2 linked regions of the Drosophila melanogaster genome follow. The gene in region 2 interacts genetically with the main gene of each other region. Each region holds a gene or a part of one and is shown on either strand. Other genes may lie near its edges.

The links.
Region 1: of ss (region 2) and BEAF-32, changing one suppresses a phenotype caused by changing the other (phenotypic suppression), as found in Drosophila melanogaster (one study listed by BioGRID).

Annotation. Positions count from the first base shown.
Region 1 is NT_033778.4:14,768,476-14,773,204, forward strand, and holds BEAF-32 (boundary element-associated factor of 32kD), read left to right. Parts: upstream 1-1,993; 5' UTR 1,994-2,110; coding exon 2,111-2,354; exon of another isoform or gene 2,355-2,926; coding exon of another isoform or gene 2,927-3,167; intron 3,168-3,324; coding exon 3,325-3,932; 3' UTR 3,933-4,155; downstream 4,156-4,729.
Region 2 is NT_033777.3:16,400,644-16,405,708, forward strand, and holds the start of ss (spineless), read right to left. Parts: upstream 3,048-5,065; 5' UTR 2,775-3,047; exon of another isoform or gene 2,753-2,774; intron 1,702-2,752; 5' UTR 1,253-1,701; coding exon 1,197-1,252; intron 1-1,196.

The sequences.
Region 1 (4,729 bases), on a different chromosome or scaffold from region 2:
ATGTGGGCGTGTAGACAAACACAGTGGAAAACTTCGCGCACACACACTAACGCGTACATACACGGATTTTTCCAAGCAACAAAAGATGTAACAGATGAAAATTGAGAGAAGGAGAGGCTCAACTCGGTATTCTCTACGCGTTTCAAACACTGACTATTCGGAATTGTAAACTATATAGTTAGTTTTCTTATTTATTTAGCTTTTTTGAACTACCATTTGCTGCGAGCACTACTTTTTTATTAACATAAAATTTGCACCAACGAATCAATCGCGCTCGCTCTCGCACTCTCCGTCACTCTATCTCCCTCTCGCACGCGCTCTCCGCAGCTTGCGCAGAAAGTTTTTTGGGCGATTTCTCCATGTGTGTATATGCTGCTCTGCTTGCTGTTGCTGCCTTTACATATTTCATATTTACATACGCCTATACATACTGCAGCACAGCTATAATTTTTCACCGATTTTCCCAACCGATATGTTTAATTGCCAACCGCAGCGGATTTCCAACTATATTTTCTTCTTATTGTTTTCGCTTTTCACTGGGCTTACGTATGTATGCATGTGCGTGAATTGGAGTACTTCTTTTTAGTAACAGTAAAAATGAGAGGGCGAGAAAGAGAGAGCACTGGATGAGCTCGTTTTTCATTATTTCGCATTTAAAATGTGTAACTCTGTCTTTTAATTCATTTATTTAACAACGCGCACACATACACAAAAACACACACACACACAAAGCAGGAGCAGACGCAACAAAATGTAGCATTTTTCTTTGTATTAATTTTGCACTGTTTTAAATGACATTTACTTTTGCTGCTTGTTCGCAAATTTTTTTGCGTATATTTGTGCTTTTTCCGATTGGGCGTTTTTTTACAATTAAGCAGATATATTCACAACAATTGACATTTCCAAAAACAAACGACGGCGACGGCGAAAAAATTAAGAGACAGTGTGACCGTGGAGCAATCCGATAAATATACTCTCTGTGCCAACTCTAAAACTCCACATAAAATACCAACGTATATAAATGCATATAACGAAAATATTAGCTTTTTGAATTTGCAACTCTGGGGTTTTAATTTATGGCGGATTTCTTGAAAACGGTAATATTGACAAAACTTTAAATGTTCGTATTGTTTTCTTTATTCAAAATTTTAATTTTTCAAATTTTTTTGTGTATCGACATTGTGGATCATTAATAGTTTTAAATTAACAGGAATTCTAGGAAAACCTACAATTTGGTAAGCTAGAGCTAAGAATCGATTCTTTTATTCATATTGGTTGGGCAACATCTTTCGGTGCAGCTAATCCACATGCAGGCATCTGTATTGCCTGGTAGCCTTGAATTTCTTTGATAATCTTATCCTCCTGGCTGTCCAAGGCGACAAAGACCAAGAAGAAATCGTAGTGCGTTTCGATGTCCCGCGCACTAACCACGACGCACCAATCCATCAGGGCCTCGGTTATCTTATCTGTAGCCTTGTCCGCACTGGAAACGTCCGGATTCCAGTGGGAATCCTCTTCATCCTCTGATGTTGGATATATGACATAGGTTCTGTAGCACTTGTGCCGCTCCATGTGTGAAGTGCATCCATGTTATTTGACCAAGCTCGATTCTGGAGAAGACATTCCAGACTTTGCCGCGACTGCGCTTCTTGTTGAATTGCCGGACTCCGGCGTTCAATTGGGCCTTGATATTGTCCTGGCTGTAGGAAAGCCATCGAAACTTTACCCATTTAAATAAAAAGATTCTACTGATTCAATATACAATAGTCAACTCAATTGAGTTTATCGATAGACTGTTTACTATGGGTAATCGGAATCGCTAGTCATATGAGAATTTTAGGTTTTAAACTAAAAGAAAATATTCAAAAAACATAAGAAACAAATAAAATTCAAAAAAAATTAAACTTACAATCAAGTTCTTTTTAAGAAAATCAGTGGCTGTTTACACCACCTTACACTTTTCGCACCGTGCTAGCGCTTGTTTACCAACACAGTTTTGTGCGTGACTGAATTTTCGTGAGTTTGTATTTGTGTACATTTTGTAATTTGGGTTTGTTTTCTTCTTGGCAAACCGAATTACCACCGCAAATCGAACAACCGATACACCACGATGCATGTTGAAAAGAAATCAGAGCTTCGTAGCCTACTAAAATCCGGGGACAAGCGTTGCAAACTCGTTGAGCCCAGGAACACCAAAAGCTGCGTCTGGAGGTTTTTCAATCTCGTCCAGTGCGACGACCACATAGAGCCGTACGCCTGCTGCAAAACCTGTGGCGATCTGTTATCCTACAGCGGCAAAACTGGAACCGGATCCCTGCTACGGCACCGATGTCTCCACTCCAGCAGCAGTAACGGTAAGTTCGGGATCCGAAATCTCACGCACGCCCTTCACAATCGAAATCCACTGCCACGCGTGCTCCGTGCCGTAGAAACCGAGCACGGATCAGTGCCCGATGCCATCGCGATAAATCCACGGGTCATCGGTACAGGCTCCTCCACTTTGGCGCGGAAAAAGTAGAAACTCTAGTTATAGCAAGGCAGTAAATCGTCTTGAAAAAAAAAACTATAGATAAAAATAGTGCAGGATAGGTACAGAATTTTCCCCAACCAGTGGTTGTGCTTGTAAATAGTTTATAAACCTATTGTATATTATCTAAAATGCTATTAAAAAATCAGCTAAAAAATATTGTTATGTTAAAAGTATTTTTATGATTTTGCGCTGTTGTAAAGTATGTAAACATTCTCTTATTTTCGTTTTTCACCTCTGTTTGCCGTTGCCTTTGTTTCCACTCTTATGTTCATGCGTTTTACAACACTGCAACGGCACTTGACAACACTGACTACAGCAACGCCAATATCGCAATAAATAAATTTGTGGAGAAAAATCACTTTTGACGTACTAATTACCTAGAGAAAAGTATTAAAAATGCCCAAGGGTCGTGTTAGCAATGTGTGGCAGCACTACGATATTAACGAGGAGTGCGAAAACTTTGCGATATGCCGTTATTGCGGCAACAATATATCGCGTGGTGGCATGGCCAGCAATTTGAAGGGCAACAATACGACCAATTTGTGGACGCATCTGCGGCACAAGCACAGGGACGAGGTGCTGGTCAGTCCGGTGCAGCAACGTCCCCAGGCCCGGATGATCCCAATCATCAAGAAAGGTAATTCCAGCGAAGTTCGTATGGCGGGCTATCGACCCTTGGGTCGGCGGGAAACTATCGCCGGCGCCCATCTCTGGGTTATGATATTTTTGTTATTATCCGGTAGCTGTACCAATATGTATCGTATTAACCATCGCTTCCATCCTTTGCATTGCAGACAAAACCGTGCGGATTACCAAGGCCAAGACGCTGAGGGAGCCGCTGCGTGTGGCCAAGCCGAAGATCGAGTCGAACGTCGCCAATTATCTGGGCGAGGCGGGCGCCCTGCCGCAAAAGTGGGAGGAGTACGAGCAGAACGATGAGATTAGCGAGGACATTAAGGACATCATATACAGCGAGGATCCACTGTGCTATAGTCCTATACACGTGATGGATGATGAGGGCCTGGATCAGCCTGAGAAGCAAGTGACCGTGCTAACCCATTCGACTTCACCAGCCGGTGGAAGTAGCAGGCCCATCGGTGTTGGTTCGGGCGTACAGGCTACTGTGGTGGCCTCCACGTCCTCCAGCAGCAGCTCGGCCAAGCAGCTGAAGAACAACCTGGAGACGTCCATCGAACGGCTGACCGCTGTCAGCGAACAGCTCAGCTACATCATACAACAGAATCACGAGGAGCTCACCAAGGACGACGACTACTATTTTGCACTTAGCTTGGTGCCCGCAATGCGCCACCTTTCGCTCAGTCGGAAGATGTACGTGCGGTCCAAGATCCAGGATATACTGTTCAAGGAAAGTGAGGACTCAACGCTTGCCAAGGATGAGTAGGCGGTCCATTATATACATTTACCCAGAGGAATAATAAAACGAGGAACGAAGGAAACCATATGGTAAATGGGCAAATCAGCGTGTCGTAATCTAGGTTAATAATTATACATATGTTATGTATTCATTTAAATTATGCTCTTTTATCGATTGAAAATACTTACTTTGATTGTATATTTCCCAATTATATTTTACTTAAAACTCAAATAAAGCACTACAATAAATTAAGGAAAAGGCGATTTCATGGTGTATTACGTTTATTTTAAATAAATTTTATTTAAATAACTTGTTAAGATTTACAAAACAGAGAGCGTTGCTAGATTGTTATTATAAATTATTGTATTGTAATTTACAAATCGATTTTGCGGCTAAGTTCTGCTGTTTATGCGTTTCTTATAGAGATATGCTTGTATTGGCCGCTCCCCAATTGCGTAGCCAGCCATTTCGTTTTTCTCTTCAATATTTTGTAGATCTAGGAGTGCAAGCGTACATTATCATACAATACGAATACAAATTACAGTAAAACTCCTACAAATCGAGCAATAAACAATAAACTTAAGCCTATATATATATATATATAGTATGCTAGGCTTAGATTCTAGTCAACAAATCGGTAGTTTATCAAACACTGACTTGAATAGCGAAATGTATGTATGTCTAATTTGATGATTTGGTTGTTGATATAGGTAAGTGGTTCGCTCAAAATGAATTTTGAATTGTGGATATGATGGGCATTATACAAATATGTTCGCTTAGGGTGGATATTAGGACTAAGTGCACGATATGTTTGCCAAAAGTTT
Region 2 (5,065 bases):
TTAAATTGCACACAAGGAACTTACTCTGAAGTGCACAACGCCTTGTACAAACAAATGTTTCAGTTTAAGTTGGTAAAGTTTTAATAGAAATAATATCATAATAACATATAAAGTTATTATTATCTATAAGGTCTATATCGAAATCTTTTAAAACATCTAATGTAAAATTTTAATACTAAAGCTAAGCGGTTAATAGTAAATATTCCCCGTAGAGTATCTTTGAAATGGAGCTATACTGTTAATAACTGGTTTACTAATCCGACTACAACTAAGTAGACGAACATTACACGCCATATTAGATGAGTTGGATAACCAATCTATCAACTGCGTGCTTATCCTAAATAGATCCTGGTTCTTCGCTTTTCCGAAGATAATCTACGCAGACCTGAGCTGCCCCGTTCTGCACCCTTTCAAGACTGAGGCGCTGAAGCTGATCAGTGGCTCTTGATTATGGGGGTCGCAACATTAGCGATCGGTGGTCTGCACTTGGCGAGGGGGCGTGGCCGGGCTGCAGTTGCCGCTCCTCGCCTTCTGCATATTTAGCAGTGCTGCTCATGATAATGCGTGAGTTCTCATATATTTATATTGAAAACATTATGCTTTGTGCGGTTGCAGCAGCTAAGTACACAAAATTATCAGAAATTATGTGCACCTTGGGACAGGCAGATTCCGATCTCCCCCAGCGAACAGCCGGAGGGGCCGCCGTCATCGTCATCATCATCAGCATGACCGTTCATCATCATCTCCATCAACTGTTTGGCTACTGTAATTTCACGGTAACCTGCCCCGACATGCATAATGCAAATCAATTTGAGGCTATCGGGCGGCAAAGGGGGAATTCACCGCCCTTCATTTCATCCGAGGGCCAAGTCAAAAGTCAATGGCGATGGCAATTTGTCAACAAAGTGGCCACCGGATCATTAATAATCGAATCTGGGGTATTCAAGACCAGTAGCTACGGAGATTGATGGATCGTCAGCGGGTGGCGCCACAAGGTGGCAAGCTGGTAAGTGGTAAGTGCAGCCAATCGCATTGATTGAAATCTTTCAGTAATAACAGAGCACCCAAGAACCCGCTCCACAAACATTCCGCCTCCCGCTGTGCATTTATATCTGAATCTGTATCCGTATCCGTATCTGTATCTTGGGATTCGGATCGGTATTGGTTTGTGGGATTGGACTGGGGCTTGGACTCACCTCTTGCCGTTGCGTCGCCTTCGCTTGGTGGCGTAGACGGTGCCCAGCTGGCTCATTGCTAGGGCGGAGTTCGTTATGGTCGCCGTCGTGAATGATTTTAACTCTTATTATTTTTCGTATCAATATTTCGTTGTTGTCTTCTGCTGCCTTCTGCTCGTCTGTCGTACAGGTTGTTTCCTCGTCGTGGCTTTCTTATTTCGCTTTTTTTCCTTTTGTAATTGGTTTTTATTTATTGATTTGGCTTGCTCTGGGTACACACTCTCACACACACGGACTCGCACACAGACACAGCCAGGAGCTGAGTGCGATCAGATCCGCTGAGATCCTGCTGCGGTTTTCGGTTTCGGAGTTGTAGCCACGCGTAAATTTCGTTTTTTTCTTCTTTGTATTTATTTTTAATTATCATCACGCTTACATTTTGTTTGCTTTTTCATTTCTCGCGCTCCTTTTGTTTTTGTTTTTTATTTTTTTGTGTATATTGCACTGTAGTTTCAGTTGGTTAGAGCTAAATGAGGGATTTAATGCGAAACTGTGATTCAGCAATTGAGAAAGGCTGGGAATTTTGATTTTTTTTTTCATTCGATTGTGGGTTGTATGATTTTCTAAGGCGATAACTTCGGTTCAACCTAATAGATTTTTTAAGTAATTAGTCCCGACGGAGAATGATTTCAGTTTATCTAAAATAAATCCAATTAGTTTAAGTTGGCAATGTCATGGAGCCGTTGTCTAATACGATTTGATTTTGCCTTGCATTGTAGAATAGTATAATATGATATTAAGGCTTTACTTTATTTTGAAAATTATATTTTGGTAAATTTTGAAAATATATTATTCATAAAAAGAATATATTTAAATTTGTTTCAATTTTTTCTCACAAAGGACTAAAAAAGTATAACAGATTATGTTAGCAAGTTATTAAACATCAGAGTCAACCAATAGTGTTGATTAATTTGAATGGCACATTCTAGTCAGAAAACTGTAAAAATCCCTCAATCCTTTTTCAATTGCTTTCAAAAACGAGTTGTTGTTTGTGTTGTTTTGTTTTGATTCGAGTGGCTGCGATTTGCAGGTTATTGTTTTGGTTCTTTCGTGGCAACACTTTTGCTTTTTCACTTGCACTTTTGCCGTTTGTGTTGGTAGTGTTGTTGCTCGTGGGCTCTGGTTTATCAATGGGCGATGTTTGCGATGACGACGCATGCAACAGAGGAAATCAAAATCGGCACGGAACCAAAAGCGCTAACGCAAGAACGGCACGCAAATCATTTTCATTTTGCGGCACGATCGACGTCGACGTAGGCAGATCCGCCGGCAGAGCAACCAGAGGCGAGTTGTCAAAGTGACATTTTTCAGGCACGCACACACACACGCGCGCGTGGGTGTGTTGGAATAGTAAAATAGATAGAAGTGAATGACCGCCGGCGGTCTGCAATTCGCACACGTGACTCCTCGAAGCCTTTACAGAACCTCCAGTTACAGGGTATCGCGTGCTGCGTTTCGCTTTTGTTTCTGTTTTCGCCTCTATTGTTGTTGTATTGCCTTATTCGGGGGACACTCACGCACACACAAACACGCACGCACCTTTTAGCGGGATTCTGGCGACGGCGAAACAACCGTTAGGAGGGAGCAGCGACTGCAACTGCACGCGAGCGCCAGAAGCGAGTGAATGAATGAACAACAGTGCCAAAAAAACGGACAAACGGGCATTTGAAACGAGGCACAAAGGCGATGGAGCGCGCTCTCTCACTCGCACTCGGCGCGGTGCTCTAAGTCGCTATCTCTCACTCGCACTCTTTCAAACGTGACTCTGCTGCGCTGCGGCCACGTAAACGCTTTGAGATTCCAACAAGAACTGAGCGGCGCCACGAAACGAATGGAAAAACCAGTCCTGGCGGAACACACTGGCCATGGAACACGCGGGCGGCGTGTTTGGGGCCACTTCCAGTCGTCCTGGCAACGAGCGATCGCCAAGCGACGCGGTCGCGTGGGAGTGAGACAGAGCGAACGATGTTCCACTACCAACCGTTCCAGCGTCGCCATACGTGCGACTGGAAGGGAGCGACCAACCAAGTCGGTCTTGGAAGTGCTGCAGCTATCTCGTTCGCACCCTGTAGTTTCGTTATAGGGGGCGTGTTCGCACACACATACTACACTGACAGCCTAGTAGCGCCGACTCTTTCCAGCGCACTACCAACTGGAAATAGAAATTCGGGGCACATCGCTCATCTCTTAATTAATTAGGCGGTAATTAAGAGCTATCAGTGTTATCGCTCAATGGCATCTATCCGCCATACTCTTCTCCTATTTCAAACTTATCTGAGCCGGATTTTACCTCGTTTTGCCACTGAAATGCAAATTTTATTTGGTGTGACCAAAACCATTAAGGCCATAAACATGAGCACTCACTTCGCGCTTATCGCGAATGATTTATTCACATGTGCCACCTGACAACCGCAAAAGAACAAGGAGAACGAAATGCACACCGCTGCCCTGCACAAAACCAGAAATCATATTCCTACACCTAGACGGGCAAAATGTCCGTGCCCAAGAACCCGATTGGACAGTGTACGAGGCCCCTTTATCCCATGGCCCATATGCTGCGTCCGTCTTTGACCGCATGTCACAGATGGCGATGGAGATGCACTCGTCAAAGGTACAGTTGGCACTCATAAAGAAGTTTTTAATAAGTAATTGTAATTAACTTTAATAACAATCTATACAAGCTATTCATTTTGTAATTAATATGATTACTGTGATTTACCAAATAATTTTATGTTTATTTTTAAAAGTTGGCGAAATGTTACGTTATGAACTTTTTCCTTTGAAAACGTGTTGCATACTTGGTGGCGCTGGAAAGCCACAATATTCGAGCCCTTTCAATCATGCAGCCCATTGTAGTTCATTTGTGTGGTTTCCTAATTTGATTACTTACGTCCACTCTAATAAAACATTATTATTGTTATCGAATGACCACTGTAGAATGCCTTCAATTTCGAAAAAGCATTTTTCTTTTATTGTGACGTCAGCCATGTACGAAATTGTTGGCACTGTATTTGTATTGCGTGCAACTATTCAATGCCAAGTCAGAAGGCTGAAGAAAACAATATTTCCTCAGCTAGAATCTCCAGCAGTCTGGTGTCTCACTCAAATCTCGCTGCGTAAACTAAGGACAACAGCAGCTCCGAAGACAGCAGGATCAGAAGAATCGGGAGAATCAGAAGAGGATCCACTCCGAAGAATGAGCAAAACAGAAGGCAGCGCATGTCAATCGGTGGCACTAATAAGTGAGCTGAGTCGAGTGGAGTGGAGTGAAGTGTAGCAAAGTGGAAGGGCTTGCAACCAGTTTTGGTGCGTTGCAACTTTTTCCAGCTTGCAGCTTATCAATTTACGCTTCCACTTCGTAAGAGAAGTGCACAGTGCAGGTGCTTATTCCACCTCCCTCTAAATATTCTTATTTTGCACTGCCTTTCCTCTTCTTGCATTATCGCTTTAAAGTACAGTCATCAATTGATCTTTAAAATTGAGGGCCAATATTATGACCTTACACCTAATACTGTAAAAAATAGCAAAATATATATAAGAACTGAATGGATTTTTTAAATGTGCTTAATAATTATTTTCTCATTATTAACTAAAAAAATACATACAAAATATACACAATCCCACTGTATATGATAAATATTTATTCTGGGGTTTCTTTGCTGACTGCTTGCTCGTCCGACAATTTCGCGATGACGTCGTTTCCCCGATGAGGACTTATGAATGTTTTTCGCCGGCATCCTTAATGCGACTTTCTACTCTGGACCCACACTTCGCAATCTACCCCTCGTTTTGCCTAATTTCGTAACAAGTTTCTTATTAACTTGTTTTTG